Linked DNA regions of Tamandua tetradactyla. The protein of the gene in region 1 purifies or fractionates together with the protein of each later gene. This does not show direct contact. Links are inferred from orthologs where the notes say so. Each region holds a gene or a part of one and is shown on either strand. Other genes may lie near its edges. The genes, in order: COP1, ETV1, ETS2 and ETV4.

The links.
Region 2: the proteins of COP1 (region 1) and ETV1 purify together in Homo sapiens (affinity purification with mass spectrometry; 4 studies listed by BioGRID and IntAct, counting the BioPlex papers as one, with this or other methods). This does not show direct contact. The link is inferred for Tamandua tetradactyla from reciprocal best matches to the Homo sapiens genes COP1 and ETV1.
Region 3: the proteins of COP1 (region 1) and ETS2 purify together in Homo sapiens (affinity purification with western blotting; 3 studies listed by BioGRID and IntAct, with this or other methods). This does not show direct contact. The link is inferred for Tamandua tetradactyla from reciprocal best matches to the Homo sapiens genes COP1 and ETS2.
Region 4: the proteins of COP1 (region 1) and ETV4 purify together in Homo sapiens (affinity purification with mass spectrometry; 5 studies listed by BioGRID and IntAct, with this or other methods). This does not show direct contact. The link is inferred for Tamandua tetradactyla from reciprocal best matches to the Homo sapiens genes COP1 and ETV4.

The regions. Positions count from the first base shown.
Region 1 is NC_135330.1:30,141,521-30,149,286, reverse strand, and holds the start of COP1 (E3 ubiquitin-protein ligase COP1), read left to right. Parts: upstream 1-4,759; 5' UTR 4,760-4,944; coding exon 4,945-5,363; intron 5,364-7,766. UniProt on the Homo sapiens protein: E3 ubiquitin-protein ligase that mediates ubiquitination and subsequent proteasomal degradation of target proteins.
Region 2 is NC_135327.1:110,437,594-110,445,272, reverse strand, and holds the start of ETV1 (ETS translocation variant 1), read right to left. Parts: upstream 3,001-7,679; 5' UTR 2,925-3,000; coding exon 2,555-2,924; exon of another isoform or gene 2,409-2,554; intron 1-2,408. UniProt on the Homo sapiens protein: Transcriptional activator that binds to DNA sequences containing the consensus pentanucleotide 5'-CGGA[AT]-3'. Required for olfactory dopaminergic neuron differentiation; may directly activate expression of tyrosine hydroxylase (TH).
Region 3 is NC_135336.1:103,035,257-103,043,020, forward strand, and holds the start of ETS2 (protein C-ets-2), read right to left. Parts: upstream 3,007-7,764; 5' UTR 2,940-3,006; intron 1-2,939. UniProt on the Homo sapiens protein: Transcription factor activating transcription. Binds specifically the DNA GGAA/T core motif (Ets-binding site or EBS) in gene promoters and stimulates transcription.
Region 4 is NC_135332.1:23,857,184-23,864,300, reverse strand, and holds the start of ETV4 (ETS translocation variant 4), read right to left. Parts: upstream 3,001-7,117; 5' UTR 2,950-3,000; intron 2,736-2,949; 5' UTR 2,685-2,735; coding exon 2,625-2,684; intron 2,420-2,624; coding exon 2,326-2,419; intron 2,088-2,325; coding exon 2,040-2,087; intron 1-2,039.

The DNA.
Region 1 (7,766 bases):
TACGCCTTTCTCCCTTTGGTCTCAAAGCGTAGATGTGGTCCTAAAATACAGACAATGTCTTCCTTATCCCTGTATTCTGAATTACCTTAAATCGGGACCTGACTGGCTTTGTTTTTATCTCTAAATACCAGGTAATAGATACATAAAACAGCCTCTCAAAATCCAGAAATAATAATTACCACTCCAGACTAAATGTGTCTGCCATTAGAGCTTACTATTTAGGCCCCTGTTTTCTTATAAGCATTTTCTAAAGGAGGCCACACAGTAATTGTTCTTTCATTTCTGGCTTATTTTGCCTCATCAAATGTTCCACATGGTTGCATGCCTCACAACTTCGTTCCCTTTTGTAGCAGCACAATATGCTATCATATGTATACACCATCATTCGCTAATCTACTTCTGTCATTGCATCCTTCAACCACCTGCATTCATTAGGCATCATGTACAGTGCTCAAAGTCCACAGTGTATCAACACTCTCAATTTTAGATAATTTCATTATTCCTCAGAGAAAGATAGCCAATTAACACACCCTCACCAAATAGGAAATCTAAACCTTCCCTTAACTTTTGTCCCTCCCCCGATTATTTACGCCTGCTGTTGCTGTGGTACTGCTGACGTTTTCCTGTCAAATACAATGGAGTTCTTTTAACTATTAAACCTTGCTTTTTACTTAATCCTTATTTACATTTTTTATTGTTTTCTCTCCTCCTGTTCTCTATTTCTTTTCTCTTATTTTCAGTTGTCTGACTTCCTTCTCTGTGTTTGTTTTTGCTATGCTTCCTCTTTTCTCTTCTGCTTTCCCAGAAGCTTCTGCAGTAGAAACTGTTTTCGGAATATAGTCTGGTATATTCTGCATTAATCTGGTATAAAAGGGAAATTCCATTGCATTACATCCCTTCAGTTTTGAGGATTTAGATTTTTATTGAAGATAGGTTTCAAAGTGGAAATACTAATCAGTGTTGATTTTTTTTCCTAGGGGACTCAGCTGGGGTCATATCACTTTCTATCATTTGAATAAGGAAGAGAGACTGCTTCACATATTCCTTGTAACTCTCCCACATAATAAAGTAGTGTTTCTCAAAGGGTTGGTCACCTGCATCAGATTCACTTGGATGCTGGGAAAAATGTATATTTGTAGACCCTATCTCAGGTTTATAGAGTCAAAATCTCTAGGGTGGAGTTCAGCAATCTGCAATTTTAACAAACTCGCTACATAATTCTTCTCTGCACCAAAGTTAGAGAGTCACAGAAGTAATAATATGTTCAACAAGTATGAACTATTTGAAGATTGGTATACTATTCCAGTTACCAGATAAAGGCCATGGATTCTTCTGCCTGCTGTGCTCAATAACCAGTTCCTGAGACACCAGGGTTTCAAAGAGAGAAAGAGTTTATTACTAGGCACGTAGTAGGAGAGCAGATGTCCTAATGACCCAACATTTGTCTTCTAGAACTGCAGTAATTCGGGTAGTTTTGTTAGAGAAAAAGTAACCAGGGTTTAGGATAATGAGCAGAGTGACCCCAGATGATATAATTAGAGGTGATGTGATTATTGAGCATGTGCAGATTGATTACATGCTTAGTCACAGAACACATGAAGGAAAATGGCGGAATGAGGTATGGGTGACTTGTAGGTTAAAGCCCAAGCTACTGTGCATGTCAGATGGACCCACTTAAGGTTAAATCTGGTCTCAGTCATCAAGATAATTTGGGACTTGGGGTGGTTTAGTTTCAGGCGGACCCAAGACTTCATTAACAAACATTAAGGGGCTGTCTTTAGTGATTCCAAGACTCTGAAGTTGAAAAACTAGATAACCAGGTACAGATGAAGGTTAGTCATAAAGTTTTTACAATCACAGGGAGAGAAGATAAGGGCTATACAACCGTTACTAGAGATCACGGCAGCTGGATTACAATTCAGAGATTTCAGGTATTTCCCTGTCTATTCCAATATCAGAAAGCTAAAAGGAATATTTATATCAAAATCATCCCTTAAATCCTGATTTCTCGGTTACATTCCGTTACTAATTTCCAAGTATTTCTTGCATGTGCCTTAGCCCTGCAGTTTCAGTCACTGCCTGAATATACTTACTTGAATGTTTTTCATCAGCACATTCCAACTAAATTATCCACTGGAAGTCTCCACTTCTGTCATTGTACTACTGCTATCCCCAGAGTAATTTTTGGAATTATTCATTTCTCTTCATGCTCTATCATTTTTATTTAACATATCGAGTACTGTGCCTAAGCACTGGGAAACACAGAGATGAATAAAACAGACAGAGTCATGCCCTTGAGGATCTTAAAGATTGTTTTAGAGTAACTTAGTCCTATAGATTCCATAGTTTGTTTTTTTTTCTTCCAGAATATTTCCTTGTCTTTCCTGCTACCATCCAAGTCTCTTATCACGTATGCCTGGCCTGCTGTAATTTTTCCTGATTCGTCTATTTGCTCTTAATTTCCCACCTCTTCTGAAAGATTAATCTGTTGATAGCTCAGTATTCTTCAAACAACGTTTTGAATACTTTCTTCCCCCAACTTGTACCTTCATTATTTCCAATTAACTAAAGCATATTTTCCAAACTGGATACTGGCCTTTTCCAATCTGGCCTCCCAGATGAATTTCTCCTGAATACATTCTAGATATCTATACTTGACATAGCATTTTTACTTATTTTTTTGCTTTAAAAAAACAGACTTTTCTTTAAAGGCCTAACTCCTTCCTCCAACAAAAATGACTGTCCCTCAGTACTTGCTCTTGCTTCAGTTCCGGTAGTTATTCTGTTTTACTCATTAAGCATTTAGCATGTGGTCTTTGGTATCATTACTTATTATTATTTTTTTGTATATTTCTCTATTTCCTCAATTATTCCATAGGCTTCTTGAATGCTGGAACAATGTTTTATACACTTCGTTGTCTCTTCCTTGCCCCGTCCATGCTTAATGTCATTCAATAAAGTCATCAAATTCATTATATTCAGTCATTTATGTATTCCATCATCAAATACTTAATTGAATATCCACCGAGGACCAAGCTGATCTTTGCTTTCATGGAACTTCAGTTTAGTTGGTAAGACAGACATTGAACAAATAATTAAAAAAAAAAATGAAATGGATACATTTACTCATTTGTTAGTCAACACTTAGTAATCACCCATCACAGGCCATGTTTTGTGATCCATGTTGGTAGTATAATACTGAAGCAGATGGTAGGGAAGAATCACATATAAACAACTAAAATACAATGTAATAAGTGCAAACATAACATCTTGGCAGCAAAAAGGACGGCCCTATTATCTGTCAAGGAGAGTTAGGGAAGGCATCACATTTCAGTTGGGTCTTGAAAGTGATTTGAAACAAGGGATTGCAATATTTTTGCATGAAAAGGATGGTTCTTAGAAAACTGATAACGCAATTCCTATACCATTACTCTGAGCAGAAACTTGAGCTAAACCCAAGAATCTTGGAATATGAGTGAGCAGTTTAAGGTTGAATTGGAAGAGGGTGTCTGCCATCACTGCCCAGCTGGGCAGCGAGGTTTGGGTTGCTGGATGAACCTTCATTCAGGTTTGTCCTTAATCCTGCCCCCCGGGCCACAGACAGTCAGGTAAGTATGTCGTTTCTCCTGTATGTGTCTTCAACACCCACGACACAATTAAATCTGGGATTCTTTCCTCTAAGAGTCATAGAATGATAGAGTTGGAAAGGATACTAAAAATCACACAGTTCAGTTGTTTCTAACTTACATTCTCTAGAATTTTGGGCATTCTCAAAGTGATAAGCAAAAGTCTGCAAACAATTTTCAATATTCCACAACACCTAAAAGATATTGCACATTTTCGGGTGCCAGGTTTCCCTGTTCTGTGCCAGAATTATATCAGGCCCACATTAAACCAAGGTTCTGAATAATCTATTGTCTGATTAAGTATAGTTCGTTTCCCATAATTGTTATACTCAACTTGGTAAACAACTTTTCAAAATATAGGCGTGAGCTCACAGTCGAACCTGTAAAACTGGTAACTGCTACAAGGTTTGGAATTCACGAAGCACTTTTTACTAAGTTCATCTTACTTTCTCACAACATCATCGAATAGCTTAACAGCAGAGCCCGTTGGCCTGGAGTCTCAGTTTACTGATCTTTCCACTGCTCCGCGCTTCACGTTTCCCTTCCGTGTGCTTACAGCACCTTCATCCCTAACTGGTAAGGCGCCACTGAGTCACATCGTCTGCGTCGCAGAGGGCAGCGACCGCATCGTTCACACCCAGGAGGAATGCGGCTCGCTCCCACGCATGCGTGTACAGCGACTTAACGACTGCTATACTCTTCTTGGTCCCGAGCTGGGACACCCGGGCAAACCCGCAAGGGTCTGCGCCCAAAGCGCGCGTGCGCAGTCACCCATAGCGCCCCCGTCGTCCCCAGGTCCTGTAAACTACCTCGCCACTCTTTACTAATCTGTTCACTCTCCTCAGCAGTTTCACTGGATTAAGACGCCTTCCCTCCAATATGTCAGGCACGAAAACAGCTTTCGACAAGGGATTTTTCCCATTGCTAAGCGCCCAAGGCTTTGGTGCGCGCTGAGGGTCGCTCGGACTGTGTGAAGTTGTATTCCCCGCCGCTCCCGCCCCTTCCGCCGTCCGCGCGCGCGCACGGCCGGCTCACGGCACGCCGGGGTTGGCTGCGGCTGCGACCACGGCGGCGGCGGCGGCGGCGGCGGCGGCCTCGAGAGCGGTAGTGGTTTCTACTCTCCTTCATTAGTTTCCTCCGCCCCCTCCCATCGGACGCTGTTGTGTGGTTGCCTTAAAAAAATAACTTTATTGTTCCACAGCCCCACCTCCCGGCGTGCGCGCGTCCTCAGGATGCACTGAGGCTGAGCGGAGGGCAGGCGGCGGCCGGTCGAGGTCCGGGTCCCTCTCCTCCGAACCCCGGAGGAGAGGGAGTCACGATGTCCGGTAGCCGCCAGGCCGGGTCGGGCTCCGCTGGGACTAGCCCTGGCTCTTCCGCGGCCTCCTCGGTGACTTCCGCCTCCTCGTCCTTATCCTCCTCCCCGTCGCCCCCTTCCGTGGCAGCGTCGGCGGCGGCGCTAGTGTCCGGCGGGGCGGCCCAGGCCGCGGGCTCGGGCGGCCTCGGGGGCTCGGTGCGGCCTGTGTTGGTGGCGGCTGCCGTGTCGGGCAGCGGCGCCGGGAGCGGCGGCGGGGCGGTGTCCGCGGGCCTGTCCCGGATCAGCTGCACGGCCAGGCCCAGCGCCGGCGTAGGTGGGAGCAGCTCCAGCCTAGGTAGCGGCAGCAGGAAGCGACCTTTGCTCACCCCACTCTGCAACGGGCTCATCAACTCCTACGAAGACAAAAGCAACGACTTCGTGTGGTGGGTTTGAAGAGTAATTCCTGCCTCGCTACCTTAAGAGTATCTGTTGGGGTCAGTGAGAGGGTGGCCTGCCTGAGAGCTTGGGATACTGGTGCTCTTATGGTGGTGTCAGAGAGATGGGAGCCAGTAGGTGGTGGAATGGGATGATGGGGTCCTGAGGCAGGGTGGGTAATGAAAAGATAAGTGCAGGTAGGGAGGAAATGAAAGGAGTTTAGGGAATAATAAATAAATGGGAGAGAAGAGATAGAGGGTCACATAAATGATAGAAAAAAGGATAAAATTGGGCAAGCAGGTTGAAGCTTGCTTTTTTCTGGCCAACTTGTATATTAGGTACCCCAGATCAGTTTTATTTCTTGTTGAGGTGAATTAAGTTTGTACAGAACAGAGGGATGGAATTCTGTTTTGGAAGTATGAAGTTGCTTATTGGAAGTATTGTGCATGGAGCTCTAAAAAAACGGGATTGAGGCTGTTTTAAGGGGAAGTAGTATTGAATATAAATATCCACCGTATGTGTATGTGTGTTTAGATACAACTTCTCACATTTCCAAGTGCAGACCACTTGCTTTTAAATCTGCTTTCGAGGCTACTGTAATCAGAAAAGTCTGTTCATAAAAAAAAAAAACTTCTTAATTGAATGTCTTGAAAGAGGAACTGTATTTATTAAGTACCATCAATGTATCAGGCAAACTGTACTATGCTTGTAGAACACAGTGTAATACAGGAACTACTAATTTGAGAAACTCTAGATATTGGAGACTTTGTCGTCATAAAAAAAACAACGCAATGTTTTGTGCATTTTGAATGATACACAGGGATATTAAGTCATGATATTTGACATAGAGAGATTACCCGTATTAAGTTAGAGTTGTCTAGCGATAGGGTTTGGGATTTTCATTGGGCTTTGGATATTGGTAGGATTATGAGAGGATTGTTTTATAGCTGAGAACTGGTAGGATTTTGTCCTTTTCCTCTGGAGGAAATTGTTGATAGGCTTAAGATACTAGTGATGTAAGAAGTTGGCTTGTGCTATTGGAGAAGTTGATTCACTTTTCAGGGTTAAAGATAATCTTGAGTTGGTGTCATTATATGTGATAGAGCTAGAATTGGAACTTAAAGGGAAGTTATTGGTAAGACTTTCAGGTTTTAGCTCCTCCAGAAAAAAATGTGTCTACTCATATTTCTGCTTTAGTCTTAATTATTCTGGATTAAAAATTAACTCATTTTTTTCATTGAAATTCGTCTATAATTGTGATTATAAATAGTTTGAGCAGCTTAAGGTTGGGTGTTTGCCCTCATGCCCAGTAGAGAGTGCCATATGATAAGGTAGAAGCTAATATAACAAAGTGGGGGTTTGCAGAATTTAGTCATTTCAGTTACCATTTACACTTCACTTTTCAGGTTAAAGAAAACAAATGCCAGCATCTGTATATGTATACTAAAATAGTACAAAAGATGTAAGAAATAAAGAAATCATTCATTCAACAAACATTTATTTAGTACTCATTGACAGGCACCATATGAGTTGCATGTACTTTAGGCCATTTTAAAGAGATTTGGTGAGGACAGGGGACATAGAAACAGCTGGCACTGATTTTTTAAGGGCAAGATTATTAAAATTTTTAATAGTCATCACCTTACTTCTAAGAATTTTAATCCACTCTCGAATCCTAGCCATATTCCTTAGATTGTTCTGTTTTCTTTTATATTCTAGTATCAGTGAGATTTTTCAGTTAAAAATTCTGAATATTTCAACTTCTGGGAGCTTATTAGTCCATTATTTGTTTTTCTGGTGAAGTTGAATAATGAAAGAATTAATTAATGGAATCTGTTTTCAGTTTCTCCAGCCAGTTTTGATTTTGGCCAAACCCTTTGGGTAGGAGGACATGGATTGGGCAAGTCTTTGCAAATCCTTTTAGTTTCTAATTGGCTGTAGGTAGCTTGTCTCTCTGGTAGGCCCAAGGGTTGAAGTATGAACCAAATTGCTCTATGCTTTTTTTTTTTTTTTTTTTCACATGGGTAGGCACCAGGAATCGAACCCGGGTCCTCTGGCATGGCAGGCAAGCATTCTTGCCTGCTGAGCCACCATGGCCTGCCCTGCTCTTAGTTTTATATCTACATGAGGCCCAAGTTTGAATAATGATGATTATTCCTTATTTATTTATCATATATTTTTGTATCTCACATCTCGTTTTATTCTTAGAGCACTTCCTATTTTAACATAATACGAATTTAATTAAATTCCCATTAAGTCACAGACAAGTTAAGTAACTGTTTTAGATCAGACAGCTAAGGGACAAAAGTGAGAACTCGGATCTTCCAGTTCTCAGCTTAGTGCTTTCTTTTTATGAAATCGTTAGTCTGATGGTTCTTAAATCGGGCAAATGAGAGGAAAGCAACTGTTTC
Region 2 (7,679 bases), on another chromosome or scaffold:
TAGTCAAGGTCCAGATTTATAGAACAGTTTTCTTTACTGCTAAAGAATGATGATTTTATCTTGATGGAAATTTAAGACGAAAACAGGCAAATAGCTGTGGGTTAATGCCATTACATAGGTTGATTGGAAAAGGGGATTAACTGAAGGCAATAACACCAATCAAAAAGTTGATTCATAAGTTCAGTCAAGGTAGAATTTGGATGAGAATTAAGGCTGTGAAACAGAGTAGAGGTCATGAAATTAAGATATTTTTAAATTAAAATATCTTTGAAAGGGAGAATCAATGACTTGACAAGCAACTTGAGGTATATGGCAAAGAACCAAGTGAAACTGAGGATAAATCACAGATTTTAGTCTTACATGTTGATGCCATTAACTTAGAAAAAAGAAGTAGGAAGAGAAGAGAAGCGTGGGTTAGTAAAAGTAATGATGTCAATGTTAGACATGCTGAGTGTAAATTCCGTGGAACACCAAGCTGAAGCTCAGGGTCGCTGTGTAAAACTTCTACACTGACACAAAGCTGAGGGCTGTGGGGCTGAGTCCCGAGGATTTGAATCTTTAAAAATTTGTCTAGGATTCTAGTGATGGATCAGGTAAAGGTGTTCAGTCCACAGCTACAGGAGACCCCGCTGCAGACAGCAATGTAGGAGGAACTACCACAGAGCTCTGCTGGCCAATACAGTAGCCAGTCGCCCCCACAGAGCTATTTAAAGTAAGCAGAACTAAAATACAGTTCTTCAGTCCCATTAGCTCCATTTCAAGTGTTCACCTGGCGATCAGGTTGAGTAGGTACTGCATTAGAAGGCACAAATATAGACCATTTCGATCGTTCCAGAAAAGTCTTTGGGACAGTGCTGGTAGAATGTGTAAACTGAGACAAAAGCTTTGAGGACAGAACCCAGGGAAGGAAGAGGTACACAAAGAGAAGGTCAGCAAGAGGAATGGAGTGAGGAGGGGTAATCAAATGAGCATACAAAGAGAAAGGAAGAAAAAAAAATCACACCATTCTGACCAAGGGGAGAGAAATTTCAAGGAGAGGACATGATCAAGAATAAGAAAAACTGAAAAGAGTTCAAATAAGAAGAATTTCAAAAATTACCTTTAGGTCATTTATTTTGCCCTAGCATTTGGTATTGCATTGGAATTGTTAACAATTTCTTCAGCTATAAAATGACTCAGTGAGACATTCTCCCACTCAGATGACAGATTTGGCTTTTAGAAAGAATTCAAATTCCCCACAGAGAGGACAGACAATGTGGGAAATGTGGCCATTCTCTTCCCACTCTTTAATTAAGAAGGGGGGCCCTGCATAGCTGTGGCTCTTCTGGCAATGTTTCAACAGTCTCCAGTTAAAGGGGTTTTCTCTGCTGAATACGTTTCTTGAAAGCATATCCAAGTACCTGTATTCGGTCATCAAACAGCCAAGAAATTCTCTTCTCAGGTTAAAAATCAAGCTGAACTAAAACAAGGTTAACATCGGAGAAATACGGAAGAAGCTTCACTCCCTCAACACCTGAGAAATTTAAGACACCAAATATAGTAGAAAACATTTCTCACAACCATGTGTTACTTGAAGTAATATAGAAATTTATATTAATTCATGATACCCGGGTATAAAATTATGGGTTAGATAAGTTGTAAGGTATTAAGAATCTCTTATTGCTGTTGATAATTGCCTCTGTGAAACTGTAAGTGGTCTGAGAAAAGAATCAAGTTAGAGCTTTAAATGGTGCTAGGAGAACACAAATGTATTAGGCTAGTTTTGCAATCAAGATGGCATCTAGACACTTTACTATTCGTACTCTTAGGTCAATCGCTGCAGTGAGATGGTAGAACAGCAAAGTATAAATACCAAAAATAAGCCCCAAGGCAACCATGTTTGTGCAGGCGAAATGCTCACTCTGCAATTAAGGACAGGGAGGCAGTAACCCATGAATCACTACTCCTGCATCTCTGACAAGCTGACCCTGGAGCAAGGCTCAGGAAAAGGAAAACTGAAGGGACGCTGAGAAGCTAATGGCTACTTCCATTTGGCTTAATGCGATGGAGAACAGAAAACTTCAGGCTAAAAATTAAATCAAAGCAGGTGACAGATTATGCATGTAAAAATAAAACAGTGCAATAAGTTAATGAATATTTGATCTAGGATCTTTTATAAGTTATTCAATAAATAATCTCATGGATTTTAACTAATGACAGCAAAATGGGATTTTTTCCCCTGTGAACATAATAGCTCACTGGATGTAAACACTTGCACACTCATGGATCACACTGATTCCGCTCCAGGAATATTTACCCAATATGAAGAACAGGATACTATTTTAATCAAATCAGTTGGCCTTGGTTACTTATAGAGCTCTGCTAATGTCATACAGGGATTGTGATGATGTCACAACCTGACAAATAAAACAGCCCGTAACTGTGGACAGAAAGGGCCCTGGTGTAATTCAACAACAGACACTGGAAGTAGAAACCAACCAAAGAGGGGGAGCAGGGTATGGAGGGAAGGAAAAGAAAAGAAAAATGAAAGAGATGGCATATACTATATACTTACAACTTTCAGCCTGATAGTCTGGTACAAACTGCTCATCATTGTCAGGTACCTGAGCTAGAAGAGGAGAAAAATAATAATAACAAATTAAGAGAGAAATCACCAAGGCAAAAGAATAGCAAGTAAGATCTTTCAAGTAAGAAAATTTTAGACTGAGATCAAAGCTATGACTATTTGCCAATGAGCTCCTATTTAAAATAGTAATGAAAGCAACACTTGGGAGGGGAAAATAGAGGAGATAATTGATGTAAACTAGGGAAAAATATATATATATACACATATATGCCAGAAATATAATGGTGGCAGTTGTAGTCGCTCTGAATTTCACATGCCAGATGGAAATAAAAAGGACATGTAAAATAAAAGAAGCCATAGGAGGGGGGTGTCGGCTGCTGTGGGAGAATGTTGCCTGTCATGCAGAAAGCCGGGGTTGGAGTCCCAGGCCATGTACCCTCCCCACCAAAAAAAAAAAAAAAGAAAGAAAAGAAAAGCTATATAATTTTACTAGCTGCAGAGTGCCTTTTAGCAAGAATAGAGCAAAAGGTATTTCAAGTCACCCACTGCCAGTGCCTGGAGCACTTCTAAATTAAACAATTATTTTAATTGATGCAGTTATATCACACATACCCCTCTACTTCTTAGTATGGATGCTTTGGGTAAGTTTGGTTTATTGCAAATTTGTCTACTACAGTTAAAAATGTTTGTCCCAATTTGGCCAAGCTATGCTACAGAGTTTCTTAAATTAAAAAACCGTTTTCAATGATGATGACCATTTCCAATACAAATTATAAATAATAACTAAAATTCATCTTTTCATGCAAAATATTTTCCTGGTGACTAGTCAGCATTAACAAAAAGAATGTCACTATTTCATCAGTCGTAATGCCAAATGACTACCCTATTTTTAGTGAAGGAAAAATACTGAATAGCAAGGATTTAATGCAGTTGGCAGCAATCAAAACACAAAAACCTTTTCACTTTTAAAATGTTTTCATCACAGTTGATTTAGACAACACAATAACCAACTGACAGAATATTACTAAACCCAGTTTTCACAAACACTCAAATACACACATTGACACAAACTGCATAAAATAGAAGTTAGGTTACTTTTAATTTCATGAAAATATAATTAGTTATTCTAAGTAACTTTGACTATAATCTGATTAACTAGTATTATTTTACTGGTAATATACAATACTGATTTCTATATCCATTTAAGTCAGATGTTAATTTTTTAAATTAATTTCTTGAAATTAATTTAAATTAATTATTTTTTTAAAAAACAAGCCTATTCTGCAGGACAAATCTTTTTGAAAATAAGCAGTCTCTGTTGAAAATGTTTCAAGTTGATAACTGAATGGATTAAGAAAAATTATGTATAAAAAGAAATTAGTTTACAGAATGAAACATAGAATTAAAGTTGCTCTTTTAATCCGTTTATCATATTATTTTTTAAAAACAGAAGTATGTGACAATAAAATGTATATTATTAATAGTCTGAATAACCAATGAAACATTCATCTTAATATTATTAAAATATATGCAGTTTGACATAGAGCTGTTTTCTAACAAATTTCTTCTTCACACCAATACTTAAGCTTACTAAAAATACACAATAACCCCCGCTGCCAAATGAAACCAAACAAATTAAAACATTTTTCAGGTTATAACCAATACTTATTTGATCAGCATATACTGCAAGGAGAATTTTTTCCTCTTTGTATTTCACTAATATCTGATATTCTGCGTAAAAACTTAAAAGTCAGAAAAACTTTAACTCATAGCTTCACTACTTGCTAGCTGTGTACTTTGAGTAAGTTATTTAGCCTCTCTGAACTCCATTTTACTAATCAGTTTAATAGTGATAATAAGGGGTTTTTTTGGTGAGGAGTAAATGAAACTGTGTAATAAGCACTGCCAGACACAATGCAAGATACTTAATGAATATTACTTATTGTCTTTCCAATACGCTACCATCCACCCTTGTCTTTCAATTTACAAAAAAAATCCATTTCAATCATTATAGCACAAAATGTAACATATAATTAATTATACTGCACAGGGATAAAAACAACTAAAATGCATTCATTCTCTTAGTTATTCTCTTAGCTATTAAGAACATAATTTTTGACATTTCAGTGCTTGTTTTTTTCACTTAGATTTATAAATTACCTTTAAAATAAATCTTCACACCAAAAAGATTACAAAAGTATTTTATATGTATTTAATAAATAACATTGGGTCCTGAATATTTTTTTCTATCATCCCCCAAGTTTTGAATTTTCCTCTAAATTAACAACTAAACAGATAACTATTGAGATGCAAAATTATCAACCATAGCAACTGGTATACTTTTAAAAAGCCAACATTTACAAGAATCTAATAAAATTGTAATATCCCCTTTACAGGAATAGTTAAAAATAGCTCGTGAGTTACAAAAGTATATTTGTAACTCAATATGCTGGTAGGAACGTCTTAAAGGCCAGATTTTTTTTTTCCCCTTACTATTACAAGACAAAATTGCAACTCCGTGATATATATAATCTCTACAAGAAAGGCATAAAAATCACTGATGGATGTGTGGTGTGTGTTGGGATATGTGCACAAAAAAGCAAAACTTCAGGAGCAGAAGAATCTAGAAGTTATACTTCACAAATACACAGAATATAGCTGCATACCAACAATTTGTAAAAAGTAAGAATAAGAATTGCTATTTCTGTTCTACCTCCCTTAACATACTGAATAAATACTTCACACTTATGCCTGAACATTTTACAGAATTTTAACAAAAAACATATGACTCACATTTTCACAGAAGCTAATCTTAAGAAACTGAATAGACCAAATGAAGCAGCATGCTACTTAAATAGACAAAGGCTTAAGTATACCTCTAATTTCAAGTTAGACTAAAAGGAAAGCAGTTAACTAAAAACACAAGTTGGATTTGGGCAAGGAAAATATGACAAACCATTGCTGCACTTGTATCATGCTATTTCTTTTTTTCTCCAATCCACAGTAATTCTGTGAAGTAGCACACTACAGCTGCCTGAAAACTTGTGGCAAATCATACCAGCTCCAAAGTTGAAAATTAACAGAGAAGCCAATCCCCCCCCCCAATTTTTTTTTTTTACTACTACCTATTATAAACTGTGCTTGAAACCATCACCTTTGGGAGCGAAATGCTTCCTCCCACACTACGTAATTAAGGAGGAAAGGGAAGAGGAAGAAGAGAAGGGGAAAGTATACAGCAAAAGACCAATAAAAAGCTTTCAAGAAGATTAAGCATGTGGATTTTATTGGTAATAGCTGGAGCGCTTCTATCAGTTCATTGCACATTAATAGACAAGTTGCCATCAAGTCTCAGGCTTTAAAAGGATAGTATCTGCACTCTCAGCTATTTGCTTTACCTAGATTATTATGCAAAGTTGATTTTCCCCCTCTCTTTTTACTACATAGCTATACACACTATGGGAAAGAAATCCATAAAATTATTAATCATGATCTAAATGCCAAAGAATCACTAACCTCATTTTTAATCTTAAATCCTTTCGTGACTAAATTTCCTTTTGGGTAGGCTAGGCAATATTTAAATATAACCTGCCTTTACTTTTTACCTATTTTTAACTTTCAAATAAAATAATAATTATTTAAGAAAAGGTGATGGTTAAATATTCTACAAGGTTGGCTGCAGGAAAGTAAAAGCCCCCCTTTTCTTACAAACTAGGGACCTGTTGAGTTTACTTTTAAGGATAGGAAAAGTAGAAAAATTACAAATAAAACAAATGTCAAGTATAAAAAGGGTTAATATTTAATTAAAACCAGTTCTATCCACTGTAACAATGACCTGGAGCCAAACTAGGCGGAAGATGTATGAGTCATTCTTTCTGCCCGTGAATGAGACAGCTGATCTCCTCAGCAATTCCTCAAGACAAGCAGGCAGACTGGGGCTCTGCCTCCATTCACAAAACAGTCCAGCCTGCGCCCTGTGGCTCAACCGCAATCCTTTCATGTTACACCCTTCCGAAGAGTTAAAGCAAGTAAACTTGAACTTGCAATATAAACACCCCAATTTTATTGCTGTCTGAAATACAAACTCAGATCCAGTAAGGAACACATTTAAATAAGCGACGAGTTGATGAAATGAACATATATATGTACTTAACCCACCCTGCTTCACAAGGAAATTTGTCACAGTAACCTGAAAGTTCAGAAAAGGAAGGAAGGAAAAAATGAAAGGAAGGAGAAAAACCACTAGAGAAATATCTTAATGTGTTGCCTATTATTCAAATTTTCTTAATTATAAGGTAATAACAGATTGTTGCTGAATTTTGGAGCATTTCACTTTTAATCAAAGGGTTAGAACTAAAGCTCCTCTGAAGAAATTTAAAATGTATTTTAAATAAGAGTAAAGTAGTAAGAAAATCTACCTTCGCATAATGGTGTTCTGTTTAATCCTTAAAATAAAGAGTCAGACCATGGAACAAACTAATCATGAGTCCACTAAGCCTGGTTTTGTACCACATCCACTTTTAACATGAAAATGACTGTTCCAATGTGCATGCACTAATTAATGCAGAAGTGTAAACATTCTTAGACAAAAAAAGGGGTATTTTCTCCCATGACGGGAACATCTTTAACACTTGATAAAGGTATTCTTTCTATATACTCTAAAAGAAAGAAAGCAGTAGGTTTAGATGATTGTTTCAAATCAGCTTCAATTTCTAACTCTAAATTGACCGGCAGTGACTTGAAAACTTAAGGATAGTTCAGAGCTAACTAGCTGTTGTTTCTAGCCAAATACTTTCTCCAGTGCTACAGAGGTTCTGTCTATATTATTATTAATATTTTTAATGGCCAATATAGTACATAGGTCAAAGGAAATAAAGTCATATTATGAAATACATTTATTAGGACCCTCTGGGAAAACTATACTTCTGCTATACCAAATCCGAATTTTCTACTTTTAATTTTTTTTTTTTGCAAATAAATACTAGATGAAAATGTATTTATATAGTTTCAATGAATGTTTAGAAATAAAATATATTTATTCAATGTGCTCTCTTTAAACCAGTCCAAATGAGAAGTCTTTCCCTTGTATTTAGAGTATTTCTTGGTGCAAAAAGAA
Region 3 (7,764 bases), on another chromosome or scaffold:
CTGAAGCCATATGGAGGCACCCCAAAGCCATAAACGGGGCACCCCTCATACCTTCGCCCTACCCTGTGTTCTCCATTGTATGCTCCCACCTGTTACAACCAAGAGCTCAGAGTAATAAAAATACTGTGGAATTTGCTCAACTTACTGGAGATAGCAAATTGCATATTTGCACATAACTAATTCTGTTTGTGCTTTCCTGTTGTCTCTTTATGGTCAGTATTTGCAGTTAAACCAGACTTCCCAAAGACCCCGCCACCCACGGGGTGCACACACAAACACACACACAACATACACACGCACACCCCTAGGCTAACATGGCAGTGTGGGAGGAGGCGAGAGGCTTCAGAAAGAGCTGCTAAAACCCTGGGATTATAGGTAATTAGATTACTGATAATAAACAGCTCTCTGGGTGGGGCTTGGGGGAGGGGTTCCTGGGTCTACTTCCTCTGCTCAGAAGCTCTTCTCGGTTGAATTTATCACCCACAGGGACTCAAGTATCAGTGTTCCCCGCTGCTGGCGACGCCCGCTGGCAGAATGCAGACTCAGCGGCCTGCTAGGGCCAAGCACGTCCCTACCTCCTAAACCTCCCCAACACGCCAGAGGCAGATGCAAGCCCATCTCGCCTTGAGGCAGCAGCGTCCACGAACTCGTCCCGGATCCCAGAGATACTCCGGGGTCACCGAGGGGCAGGGAGGACCCCAAATCTTATCTGCACATTTGTGCGTGACCCTGAGTCCTGAGCTGCCTCCCCCGTGTCAGGAAGAGCCCCTTCGCCCGCCCCCGGCCTCACTCCGAGACAGCGCACACCTGTCCCCAGATTGCAATCCTCTTTAACTTTAGAGCCTGATGTCACTGGGCTGGATGATATCACGCGTGCTACCTGTGGCAGAAGGGCAAAAGGCAACCCCCTGGGTGCTGCCTGGTACCCACGCAGGGTCCGGGAGGACAGCTCTTGTTCCCGGTTTGGTCTGTAGGATGTGGGCTTGCTTCTCCGGGTTTCAGCTTCCCAGAGACCAAAGACCATGGAAGGCAATGGAAGGGCTCTGCCTGGCTCTTGTGTACAAATACCAGGACGAAAGGCAGCTCACCACTCCCACATAAAGAGCTGTAATTGCTAGCTACAGAGCCGAATTCTTTTGTTGTCCAGGTTTTAATGAGTTTTGTAAAAACCATGCAGAATCAAAGTGCTCTACTAAATGGTTTCAGGCAGACACATCACTAATCAAATTTAAGTTCATTTATTTTCCTCAACATGGCTTGTCAACGTGACAAGTTTCACCACATAAATCAAGTTCAAATGTAGGTCCCTCTGGTGTTGCTGGATGGATCACTCCTTTTGAACCAAAAAGAAAAGGGGGTGGGGTGGGGGGAATAAGGACAGAATGGAATGGCTAGAATTGGTCAAAATTCAAAACAAGAACTGGCCTGACCACAGCACCCCACTGGGAGAAGTGATCAGTTACGTAAGATTAGAACGCAGGCTTGTATTAAGGTAAAATTGCGGGGAAATAACAAACAAATCTGTAACCCACTATGGAAGGCCCCTTTGCTGTTTTCGCTTTCGAAAGTCACCAGTTTAGAGAGAGGAATGACTAAGCCCAGAAATGAGCGTTTGAATATTTCCCCGAGGGGGACACACACGTTGCTGTACTGTGAGATTACTCAGAACTTTAATAAATCTTCACCTGGAGATTTATCTTGGTGATGGCTGGTGATGTGGGCAGGCAGACAACACACCGACTTCCATTGTAAGGAACAATCTTCCTAATGGTGCATTAAAATAAATTACTGCCACCCCCCAGGTGGACAGCTCACCTCTTTACTTTCCAAAAAAGAAGCAGGTCAGTTACTATCTTAGAGCACTCTGAAATGTAGTACAGTCTCACATAAAAAGCCTCATGTGCCCTCAAACCAGCTAACCCCCAATCCCAAACCCACACACAGAAATGCTCAGCTATCCCTTCATTCAAAACGCTTCAGGAAAGAGAACCTCACGGCAGCCCGGCGCACCCACACCCACGTTTCCAACAGGACCCCCACCCCGTCTGCCAAGCTCGCCCCCCGAGGACCAAGAGCCTACCCCCACCCCCCGCCCCGATCCACAAGTCAGGGGGCACCCTCGGGAGTCCCGCCCAAACAGCAGGACGGGAGGGCGCCACCCCCACCCCAACTCCCTCTGGCACCTCCCTCGCCCGCCGTCCCCCGCCGGGACCCTGGACGTGGCCGAGCAGGTGACCGGTGGGCGTCGTGGCGGCCAGAGGAAGCCGGGCCCCGGGCTCCGGCACGATTTCGGGGTGCCGTAGCCTGCTAGGGGGCTTATACGAGCCTCCCTCCGGGTCCCGCGCCGCTCCACACAATAGGGCGCCCTAGTAAGACATCATGAAACCCGGGGCGCGCTAGCGGCCACCGCGGCCACCCTCCCTCCTGCGTCCCCAAGCCCCGGCGCGAAATCAAGCCCGCGGGGCACCCACAGGACAAGAACCCCCGTAAAGAAACCCCACCAGGCCCGCGTCGCCTGCTAAGAAACAAAGCCCCGGAGAAATGAAACAAGCGGCCGCCCGGCCCGCGGAGGCCCCCGTCGGCCCCTCCACTCCGAAGGCCACCCGGGAACCCGGAAAACTGGCCCCCAGCGGAGCTCGGACGCGCGAACCTCGAATTCGAGGAGCAGCCGCCACCCCCACCTTGACCCCGGGCTCTCCCGGCATCTAGACCTCGGTGTTGCCCACGGACCCCCGCCCAGTTTCTGAAACCCCCCTACCACCGAGAGGAGTCGGCGAGCCGGAGGGGGCTCTCCGCAGACCTCGGGCCACGGGGGTCGGAGGTGTGGATCTCCGGCCCGCGCCCCCGCCCCGCAGGCAGCCCCTCGCCGCCCGAGCCCTGGGACCCCGGCCCCGCAGGTGGTCCCTCCCGGCCCAAGCCCCGGGACCCCGCGCTCTTACCGCGCCGCTTCGGGCAGGGCCGGCGCGCAGTCGGCGGCTGCGGCTGCTCCGGGCCTGCGGGCTCCCGGGGTGCGCGCTGGGCAATGGGCGCCCGGTGCTGGGCGAAGGCCGAGGGCGAGGGCGAGCGCGGCGGATCCGGGCCGCGGCGGCGGGGGCGGCTGGCGCGCGCGGGTGGGGGCGCTCGGCGAGGCCGGGGCGCGAGCCGGGGTGGGCGAGCGGGTGTTGGGGCTGGGACTAAGTCTACACCGCGCTCCGCGTCGCGGCTGGAGGAAGTAGCCGGCCTGTGGCCCTTGCGGCGCGCTCTTCTGGAGCCAGGGGAGGAGGGCGGAGGGAGGAGGGAGGGGAGAGAGGGAGGGGAGGAGGAAAAGGGAGGGGAGAGCGGAGAGGAGGGACCGAGAGGCGGGGAGAGGAGGAGAGAGGAGGGGAAAGGAGGAGGGGAAGCCGACGTGGAGGAGGGGAGAGGAAAGAGGGAGGAGAGGCAGGGGAGGAGGAGACGGAGGAGGAGGGGAGGAGGGGAGGAAAGGCGGAGTGCAGCGCAGGCCAGCACCCGGCTCCTCCCGGCGCCCTCTCTCCGGCGCCCGCTGTCCCAGTGCCGCAGGGTCTGGGCTGGAGCTGGACCCCGGGCTCGGATCCCCGGCCCCGCGCGCGCCCTGGGATGTCAGGCCAAGAGTCTTTCCTTGGAGGGATCCGTTTTCCCCGGCCGTCCCAAGGCTTTAGCTCCTAGCTTGGCAGTCGAATTCAGCCCGAATGGAGAGGCCGCAGATTGAGCTGGCCCGGTTCCGGGACGAAGGATTTCTGGCAGTTCTCTCATGAAAAGTCTCCAAATGAGGTTATGAATGTTCAGTTTTTGGGGGGTCACCTAGTTGAGTCGTGAAAGTGGATGTTCTCTGCACAACCCTGGGGAGCCCCATTCTTAGCGCGCCCGTGTGTGTGGCGCCCCCTAGAGTTGGGCGGTGCCTGAATCAAGCCCTGAACTCTCACTGAGCATTCTGGTTGAAATGCCTGTGGGGGTTGCTTATCCCCGCTGTACCTGTGGGGGGACTTTAATCTTGGAGGCAATCCCTAGCTGGGTTGTAAAAGGCAGATGGGAAATTCAGGGTTGAAACCCGAGTTTATCTAACTCCCAAGCTTTGTGGTCAAACCCACCACTCATGCTGCTGGTTTCCATGTTTTATCAGAAGGCACTCGAGTCCATGGCTAGCAATGTGTGGATTTCCTATTTAGGCTCCAGGTCAGATTGCCGATGCTGTGGAGGAAAGTTCTGATTCCTGCTGGTGTATGAAACAGAAAAGTCCCGCCAGCTCAGGCAAGGGCCTGTGGCTGAAAGTGCATCTCAAGGACTGGGCTGGAGGTGAACAGGATAGCCCAGCCTCTGTGTTATCCAGCGGCCCTGATTTCCATGACAGCTCTGGATCTGGGGTTAGCTGGCTAACTGACATCTTTCCAGGTATCAGCAGAGCTTGTGTCAGAGACAGAGTCTGCACACCTGGAACAACAGGGAGCAGGGGAGAGCGGTATTTTTCGGTGACGGAATTGACTGGATGGCCTGGATCAGAAAGCAGATAAGGTCAAGATGTTCCATAAACGGAATACAGATCCATGGTAAGTTGCCATGGAGATGTGAAGAGTGCATTGCTTAAAAAAAAAAAAAACGTACAGCAGAAAAACACTGACTCATCAGGGCTGTGATTTCACTAATATAGGGGTCCCACCCCCCACCCCAGACTACTCACTTACACCTAGCTAGTGTCTGAGAAGCTGGGTGTGCCAGCGTTTCATGAAGTCCAATTGCCCAAAGTGGGCCACCTTGTCCCGCAGCTCCCACTTCTGTGCCTGTGGGATTCTCATGCTTTCTCCAAGTTGTTGAGGTGCACTGACTTTTGGGGCGACAGCTTTCACTGGTACAGACAGAAGCTGAGAGGAGGTGCTTTGTCCGTGCTGGGTTCTTCCAGCATCTGAGCAGAGAGATGGAGAGAAGCAGCACAGCACTTTGGAGATGGCCTTCCTCGGCTTGCTAACTCATGACTATTCGAACCAGTTATTTTACTTCTCTAGGGTCAGTTCTCTCTTCAATAGAATAAGTGAGTGGTTAGAGACCTATGTCACGAGGCTGGGGTGAGCAGTTGACATTAGGCTGAATCTGTAAATAATTTATCAGTGTTGTAGTATGTGGTAGAGAAAAGTTCAACATGAGAGCTAGTTTGTTTTTTCCTCCAAGCTCCCCTCTGGGAGCATTTTATGAAAAACCCTTTAGAAAAAACACCTGTCCTATGCATAAAACAGACCATCCGGACCCTCTCAGATCTCAGAGGATCTGTCAGAAACAGATCACAAAATGCAGGCTCAAAGAGGTGCAGGAGGGGTGTAAGCTGGGCTGTGTGCCTGGGGAGTGCCGGTAGATGACGGCGCCCTCATGCGCCTCCTCAAGCCTGGTGTCTCGACTCCCTCCAGGGCCCTCTCCTGGCTTGCTTCACCTTCCAAGGAGCCCTGGGCTAATCCAAACAGCCCCCCTGCCCTGGGCCGGCCACTGTCCCTCTATGCCTGGGCGGTTCCACGCCTTTAATAAAATGGCATATACTAGTTCTGGGGCAATATCGGAGTTCCTGATATTTCCTTCCTGTTTTCAGCTGGTTTCCTGGCTACTTAGCAGAACTCAAACCCTGCCTGGTTGAAGCCTTGTGGTTATTCATTGACTATTATAGCAGGATTCACAAGGAACGCTGGGCTTCGCAGTCAATTAAACCTTATAAATGTACAGCACTTGCACCTGAAGATCAAAAGTTAAAGGTATTAGAAGGAAATTAGAAGTCAGAAGGCACCCGGGGTGAAATGATCAGATGCACTTAGATCAAGCTGAATTTAAAAGCCATCTAATTCTTTTCTCTTAAGATAGAGAGAAGCTCATGAAGAAAAGAGGAAAAGGGATATTATGATAGAAACGCATAAGTGCATGTATACTCTATACCTAAGATGTAAAATGCAGAAAAAGTTTACCAAATCATCCTTGAAGATAAATTTTAAAAAACACGTTTCTTAGTAACGCGTCCATTATTTGCCTTGCAATCCAAATCAGTGGAGCTGATGCACAGTTCGTGGGGGTTTCCAGTTGCAAGTTAAACAGACGTCATTTGGTCTGTGATGTATCCTTTATTTATTCATTCTGCAAACATGGTGGTGGGTGCTGGGCAGGCAAAGATGAATAAGGTTTGGTCCTTGGCCTTGATGAGGTGAAGATACAGACTAGAATGAAGTACAAAGTGTGGTAAAATTCACACACAATAATGGAACTTTAAAAATCCTGGGGGTAGGGGGCTGGGGAGGCAAAGAATGCCCTTAGAGATAGAAATCTTTTGATTCCTGTGTATTCTGGCACCTGTGTTTTCTAGGTAGACTATTTACACTGCAGGCTCTTGGAGGTGTTCAGGGATAATGTTTATTCGAGTGATGTATGTTGGGGTCAAGGAACTGATAAAGACAAGTTTGATAATCCAAATATATGTGCAACTATTATCCTGGCCACTTGACCCTCCATTCTTGCCCATTTGCAGGCAGGGCTCAGATGCCAGGAATCCAGCAGCCTGCCAGCCTCCTAACAGGGAGGTATCAAACCAGGCAGCAGCAGGAAGCTTTTATTCTTTTCTTTGTGCTTCCTCAGAATTGCAAATACGGGATGATCCTGGAGGTCAAAACTTTTCCTCGGGTCCCACTAGAATGCCTTCTGCCTATTGGCAGCCTCATCTGCCCCAAGGGCTCATCATCTGTCAAGTTTGGATAATATCAGTACTTTTTTCCTAGGGCTGTCATGATGATTAAATGAATTAATATTTTTCAAGCACCCTAGGAAAACCCCTGGCACGTAGTTCAGTCTGAGTATGTGATAAACAAGCAATGGCTCCCTTGACCCTGGGGAGGCCGGTTTTCTACATCCTCTTCACTCATCCTTTGAACACTGCTTTATTTTAGACTCTTCTGCATATATTGGAGGTGATGGTTCTTTCACTATAATTTTCTTTCCCTGGTAAGAGACCAGAGAAGGAAACACTGAATTTTAAAACTGGAAAAACACCTTAGAGAGTTGATAACAGAGACCAGCTCCTGTTTTTACAGAGAAGGAAGCTGAGGCCCATGGAGAATCGATTCCTTGCCCGTGGTTGTGTGGCTATTTCCTGGCACTGCCTACCAGCTCCGCCAGCCACCTGCTGGCACTGTCCTCTCCCTTATAAGGCAGCATTCTTGGAGTGTACAAACCACCTTTAAAATCCACCGTGATAGGAAACGGCATGATGACATGCTTTAGGCAAGTCTGAACAACAAAAATAGACATAGAGACCCGCTGTGTTCTGTAAAACTGATAATCCCTAAATAAATGTGTCTGAAAGGTGAGTCAGCCCTGTGCAAATATGTGATTTTATAATGGTGTGATTTTTCTGAATCACAAAGTGACTCCCACAGTATGTGATGAACTACATAATGCACAGAGCCTGGACTTTTTTAATCTTGCAAACTGGAAAACTGAACCCCTAGTCTTCACCCAAAGTAGGAGTTAGTCATTATTGAACCCGTCAGTCTAGCAAATGACTAAAGGAAGGTTAATTCGCATGCCACTTTTGGCAACAAAATAAAAACATGGATTAAAGGTTTAAGGCTAAATATGTAATAGACTTAAGCTGGAGTGTGAATAAATCATAAGAAAACTGGAATGTTTCAGTTGCATCGATTCTTTTTGGGAATGGCTTTCCAATTGCTACAAGTGTTTTTCTCCCCTCACTTTATGTTTATGATTTTTTAGTACCTTATTTCAGACCAACTGAGCTACTGGTGTTTC
Region 4 (7,117 bases), on another chromosome or scaffold:
GACGGTGCAGGGGGACAGGGCCCTGGCAGCTGCATCTGTCTCCGCAGAGAGAGTGAGAAGGAGCGAACGGCCTCAGCATGCCCCCCTCAGGCCTGGCCATCCATCGCCAGCTGGGGACCTGAGCCGCTCCCTCAGAAGGAAGGAGAGGGAACCAAGGAGATCCCAGCCCCCTCACCACCACCACCTCCTCCTCCGCTTGGCGATCCCCACCCCCACCTCCCCACCCACTGGCTTTAAATGTACAGGGGCTCCCAGGGCAGTGGCGTGTTACACACACACACACACACACACACACACACACACACACACGTGTGCGTGCGCGCGCACACACACACACACACACACACGACACACTGTCACACCAACACATACAGACACATGTACACTCTCTAGACCCTAACAGCCATGGGTGGGGCTTCCAGGGTTGAGAGGAGATGAGAACATTTTCCTCTCCATCCCAACCCAAATCCAGGCACAAATGGATCAGGTGCTGCCAAAACATCAGCCTCCAAGCGGAACGCACTCCCCACTTGCAACAGACCCCCCCCCCCCACCCCAAGTTGTCCACTGTAGGAAGTGCAGGAACCCTCAGCTGACACCAGGAGCCGGGGGAGCTAAACTGCAAGCAGGCAGATGGGAAAAGAAGTATTTGGGAGAACAGGGAAACTGACACCTCTGTGCTCTTCAGCTCCAGCCTAGCTCCAGCACCCCGCAGGAGGGTGGGCAGAGTGGGCAGAGCTGCCCCGGACTGTGAGCCGGACTGTGAGTGGGCTGCAGGGTTGGCAGACTTGGGGAACAGCCCCACAATACCCCCAATCTCTTCCAGCCGTTCAGCTATTAATTCTGTAAAATGTCGAGTACTTCCCTATGGTAAATACTTATCCTTTCAACACATATTTTTTGGATAATACAGTGTCCAAGACAGACCTAGTCTTACCCCAAAGATCATAGTTAAGGGACTTTTCCTTCTACCCTAAATCCATAAAGGGTTTGAGGAGTTGGGTTTGAGATTTAAAAAAAGAAAAGAAAAATCCATTAAAGAAAAATACCGAAGTGAAGGGATGGGGAGAACCCAAGGAAAAGAAAAGCCTCCAAAGTTGGGGTTCCTACTGTTTTGGTTTCTTGGTTTTCTGAGTGTTGAAATAAAGGGAACCTGAGAAGGGACTATTAACCCTTCCCTCTCAGATATTGTTCTAACCCACTATTGTGCCTCCACCTGCAGCGCCACAAATGACACCCTAAGGCCCCACGAAAAAACCAACAAATCTAACCAGGAGACTCCCAAAACACACTTGGCCACCCAGACAAGGCCCAGTCACTAACACCACCCTAACCAGCTCGGAGCTAACCACCCCCCCCACCCCCACCCCCAGCACACAGGAAAGGGTATTTGCCTGGGGGCGGGAGGTATTCAGGAGGGATGGAGGAGAGAGGGCAGTTGCCATTAGAATTGCAATCGCAATCAAGCTATTTGGGGAAGAGGTCCTGGGCCCTCTTTGCCAAAGTGCAGCAGAAAAGAATTATTTAAACTTTTGTTGTTCTTTTGGCTCAGATAGTAAATTGCTCGGTGCTGAGGGTTGAAAAGAAGGGAAATCAAGGGGGGTGAGAATTCATGTGTTGGCAACTCCTGAAGATGGGCAGCAAATTAATTGTTCCTTCTCCCCATCCTACTGTCCTCCCCTCCCCCCAACACCCCAGCACCCCAACACACACCTCTGCCTGCCTGGTAACTGCTGCCAAACAGACTTTACGAATGAAAATTTCAACCAGGGAAACGGGCCTGGGGCCAAGTTCCATTCAAATAAGCAAATACCCCACACAATGGTCTGATTCATCCCCAGGCCTAGTTACACAAGCCTGGCTCAGGGCAGAGAAAATAAATATCAATACAAGTGTCCACACTGGGCGCTGGGAGAGCTGAGAGGCAAGGGATAGGGGGAGAGGGTCTTCGGGAGCCACTTGAGACTGGGAAGGGGAGAGAGGAAGTGGCCAGAAAGCCCCCCACACCCAAATATAGAAAAGGTCACAAAACTACTCACCTTCAGCGAGCCAGGTCTCCTGGAAGTGACTTAGATCCTGGAAGAGATCTGAGGGGTGAAAAACGGAATTGAAGAAGGTGAGGTGGAGGGGAGCGTGAAAGAGGAGCTCCAAGGAGCCCGGTGAGTCCCTTGGAGGAAGTGTAGAGAAGAACAACCAGAGTCCCTTGGAGGGCGAGTTCCCTTTGGGAAACCGCCTGGGGCTCCAGGATCAGCTTCGGGAGTGTGTGCGTCTGGGAGCGGGTCGCGGGGTGTCTCACTGTTTTTTTTTTTTTTTTTTTTTTTTTACCTTCGGAGTCGGGGGGCGGCAGGGAGCCGGGGTCCATGAGCTTTCCCTGCGGGACCATCAGCGATTCGCGCAAGCTCCCATTTCCAGGCGATTTCTAGGAGAAGGGGGAGAATGCCACGAGTCACCCCGGTCAAACTCGAGGGTGGAGGTCCCTCGGTCCCGGGAGCGGGGCTGGGGTCCCGGGGTGACCCAGAGGCCGGTAGCCCCGGACCCCGCTAGGGCCGCGGGGAGGGGGTCGGGGGGCAGGCAGGGGCGGGGTGCGGGGCGGGGGCGGGCGTGGAGGCGGGCGCGGCGCTCACGCTGCAGAAGGTGTAGGGCACTTGCTGGTCCAAGTATCCGCCTTTCATCCTCCGCTCCATCCGGCCGCTCCCTCCCGCGGCAAGGCCGGGGCCCCGCGCGGGGGCCGAGACCTGGGAGTGGGGGAGGGGGCTGCGTTCGCACACTGTCCCGGGAGGGCTGCGGGGGGTGGGTCAGGGGAGTGGGGGCGGCGGGGGCGGGGAAGGGGCAGTCCAGGGGTTCTGGATCCGACGGCGAAACTTCTCCGACTCACTCCGGCCAAAGGGAGGTTTCCGCCCGCGGGGCGGTGCGCCGCCGCCACTCCCCTCCCGCCAAAGACTATCCCACCTGCTCCCGGGAACCCGGCTCCCGTTTCTGCTGCTTTCTGCAACCCTGCTCTGCCCCAGCTCGGTTACATAAGACGTTTGTGTGTGTGTGTGTGTGTGTGTGTGTGTGTGTGTGCGCGCGCGCGCGCGCGCGCGAGGAGGAGCGGGCAAAGCGCGCACCATTCGCACGCGCACAACTCCCGCGCCCCCTCCAACCCCGAGTGCCAGTGCCTCCCACTCCCCCTGGAATCCGCAGAGGCGGGTGGGTGAGAGAGAATGCGGTGTGTGTTGTCGGCGAGGCGGGGAATCAGATGCTCTCCCTCCTTTCCCTCCCGCAGCCTCACCTGAGGCAGGGGTGTCGGTGCTGGAGCGGCGGGAGGGTCGCCAGCATGCCCCTAGGCCCGCAGAGAGGGCCGCGGGGTTGGGCCCAAGTGAGACCGCCCGGGTCCCCCGACCCCCGCGCACCCGCTTGTTTTCCGGGCGTCGCAAACAGTTGTGAGCCCGGGGGAGCAGCCAATTGGTGCATTTCCTTTGCCTCTGCCTCGGCACCACCCCCACTCCCCCACCTCCGATCCCTTTGTTTCATTGACTTTTGTGAATGAAACCCCAGGGCCGGGCACGCTCGCCAATCAGAAGCCTCGCCCGGCCGATTCGGGAGGCGGAGTTTCCAAGCCCAGGGACCAATCGGGATGCAGGGGCTGGCTCTCGGCTTCATTCACGGCTCGGGCTCCCATTCATAAAAAAATAAACTCGCGGTCGGAGTTCATTCATAACGAGCTGCGAGGAAGAGAGGAAAGCCGAGGACCCTGCCGAGAAACTCCGCGGCGGTCCCTGGCTCTGAGATGCCGCGAGTGCCTCTGGCTGGCGTCTGCACACGTCTCTTTGCATCCGGGTGTACGTGGGAGTGTGAACATGTCTCTGTGTGTGCCCTACAGGGAGGCTTGTGTGTCCAGAGAAACAATAATAACTCGCATTTATGATGAGCTCGGCTTCCACGTACTCATTCGTTCCCAAAACAGGGTGAAGTGGGTCTATTGTTTCCATTTTCCAGAAATTGAAAATGAAGGCTTAGGGAGGTGCGGTGACTTGCCTCAGTTCACTCAGCTAGCTAGAAAGCACTGCTGGGATTTACGGCCCCCAAACTCGCCGCACCCCACCCCCACCCCGTCCTACTGTACTGTACAGACCTTTGAAGCCACCATTAAATGAGTTAAGTCATGTTGCAACATTTGATACACAGTAGGCACTCAATAAATGTAAGTTGGCATGAAATCTAGGCTTTTTCTCAAGGGTCTGTGCTCTGCAGGAGTGTTTGTGACCCAGTTTCTATTGATTGCAGCAGGAAACCAGAGGTCACAGAATGGTAGACTTCTGAAAGCGCTGCTCTTGGCAATCTTTCCTCTCATCTTGAGAGCAAGCATGGGGTATTTAGTGAGCAAAACCCCAAGGGGTCTGATGTTCTGGGGGCAGGACTGGGTATGGTTTTGGCCAAAAATTTGGTCACAGCCTGTGACATCTCATTCATTCACCACTTTATTCAATAAACATTTATTATGCCAGACACAGTGTTGAGTAGTACGCAAGCAGCTGCGACCAAGACAGATAGATGTCTGATAGGACTGAGATTCTTGGACAGCAGCTGTGGGGTAAAAGGCCTAGTACCCCAGGCCTTTTATCTTACAAAATGCACTGGTATTCTTTGAGGTGAGGCCGATTTTGCTTCTTGTCTGTGTGCAACAAACACAGGAGACTGGCCAAACCCTGAGCCAGTAGGAGCTGCTTTCAAAACTTCATCTAATCTAATCCCCCCACTTTGCAGACGAGGTAGTGGAGATTCAGAGGAGGGAGTGACCCATACAAGGTCTTTCACTTGGTCACTGTCAGAACTGAGGTTAGAACTTCAAACCTCTGGCACCTTTCAGGGCTCATTCGAACACCAGCTCATCTTGAGCAAATAAAGATAACCTTCCCTCTCTTTGCTAAAATGTTCTTTAAAGGCTCATCTCTATTGCTCCTCTCCTCTAGGAAGCCTTACAGCACAGCCTCAATCAGATCTCTAAGGCTGTCACAGCATCCTTGTCTATATCTCTGGCAAGAATGTCCTTCATTCTGCTTCATCGTACAGTCATCCTTATGTATGGCAAGCTCTCCAGGGCCCAGAGAGGTCTTGTTCACCTCTGTAGTTTGTACACCACTACCCCTAACCTGCTTCCTGCTAATGAGGGTCCTATGAAATGCCTGTTCAGTGAATACATACAATAAACAGCAAATTAATCCAATTCAGTAAGAACCCTGCCCAAGGAAGGGAAGACAAGTCCAAGCAAATGCCAGCTTTGAATTGGGTGGAACCAGTTTAAGGAGGAGCATGTGTCCTGGGGCCAAGAGAGGTGGAGTAGGACAGAGGGTTCTTCTGCAAAGGCAGCGCTGACATTGTGTCTATGCCAACAAAGATTCATCTGGAGTGTCCTTGAGCAAGCCCTCTAGCTGGGGCACTCTAACGAATGCTCCTCTGGTTCTGAGTTGTGGCATTTCCTGGGAGGGCCTCTGGCTCTGTGGTGTTGCCCCTCCCCTCTCCCTATCCTCCTCAGGCTATGCAGAGGCTGAGGGACTTCCCAGGCTCCAGCTCAGCATGCTCATACCCGCTGAGTGACAGATACTGCTGCACTGCCCCTACTGCTGTTGCCGTCACTTTGCCCCTGATTCAACACCCAGGCCTGGTGCAGTGACATCTTCAAAGGGGAGCATTCAAACCTCTTCCGGGGTAGTAGGGAATGAAAAGAATGTGATAGGTTGGAGATTTCCTTTGGGAATCATATCAACATTTACTGAGCACTTACTGTATGCCATGCCTTGTTGTAAGCGTTCAATCTGTTTCAGCTGTGGCAACCTTCACAGCAGTCCTGTGAGGTAAGCGCCATGAAGATCACCCACATTTTGGAGTTGAGGAAATAGAGGTCTCACAAACACACATCTACTCCAAGGACCCCCACAACAGACTGAGGACACACGCAACCGACTCAACAGACACACGGCAGGCCAGGGGAAGCACATGCCTGAGCCAGAGAGAGCACACCAGATTCAGGGTGCTGGGAGGCCCCTCCCGGACACACAGCTCCGTGGAGGACACATACAGCATACTTCCTGACACCCTCCAACACACCTTAGGTAGAGGCTGCACAGGTAGGGAGGAAATGTATCCTTTCTGCTAGTATATTGGGGGCTGGACCCTGATCTGTTTCCCAGGAGTCTAAGTTATAAAATGTAAATGTGGGTGTTAGATATGCAAGCCTATGGCTTGCTTTGAGAGCTGGAAGATCAGCACCCAGGGATGAGAAAGGAGAGGAAGGATTTTGAGGCATCTGGATCAGACAACAGGTGGCTTAGGGGCCTTTGGGAAGAGCAGGCTCTCTCCAGGACAGGTTTCAGTGAAGGTGGTGGCAGAGGGTTGGATTTGGACATTCTGTGGGTGACCTGTCCTGCCTAACTGTGAGGAGAGGATGGAAAGGTCCCTGTGGGCATGGTTTCCTTAGCACTTGGGATAGTTAAGAGTCACAGAAGTTTAAAGAGTGAAGTTCAGAGGGTTGCCCTGGGAGACAGCTCAGAAAATCCTGATGGGTGGCATCAACAAGGTCAAGTGGTGCCCTGTGTCCCTGTAGTGTCTCCCAGGCTAGAGCTGTCACTGGGTATGAATCAGAGAGCAGGGTCAGGTAGTGGGGTGGGGGACGCTGGGGGTCTTCCTCATGGGCTACTGGGTCAGGGCCAAGCAATACAAGAGTTGCTCTTGAACTTCCTTCTGACATTGTCACCATCCCACTTTCACATCAATCCCTCTGAACTGCAGGGGTTCCGATACCTGGGTCCGTTGATGTGAAGCCCCTGTACTAACCGCCTGCACCTGTGTATGTGCGTATGCAGATGCGCGTGCATTTTTCTGAGAAGAAGTTCCATAGCTTCCATCAGGGTCTTACAGAACAGGTCTGTAACCCAGTCCAACCTTAGGGAACCCTACACTAATGTCTTTTTTTTCAACAAACTTTATTTCTAGGTTTACATTTTAGATTTACAAAAAAAAAAAAAGGCAAGAAGTAGAGGGTTCCCATATACTCACCTCCACTCCCACCTCACCCCCTACTCTTGTTTTCCCTATTATTCACATCTTGCATTACTGTAGTTCAATCAATGAACCAATA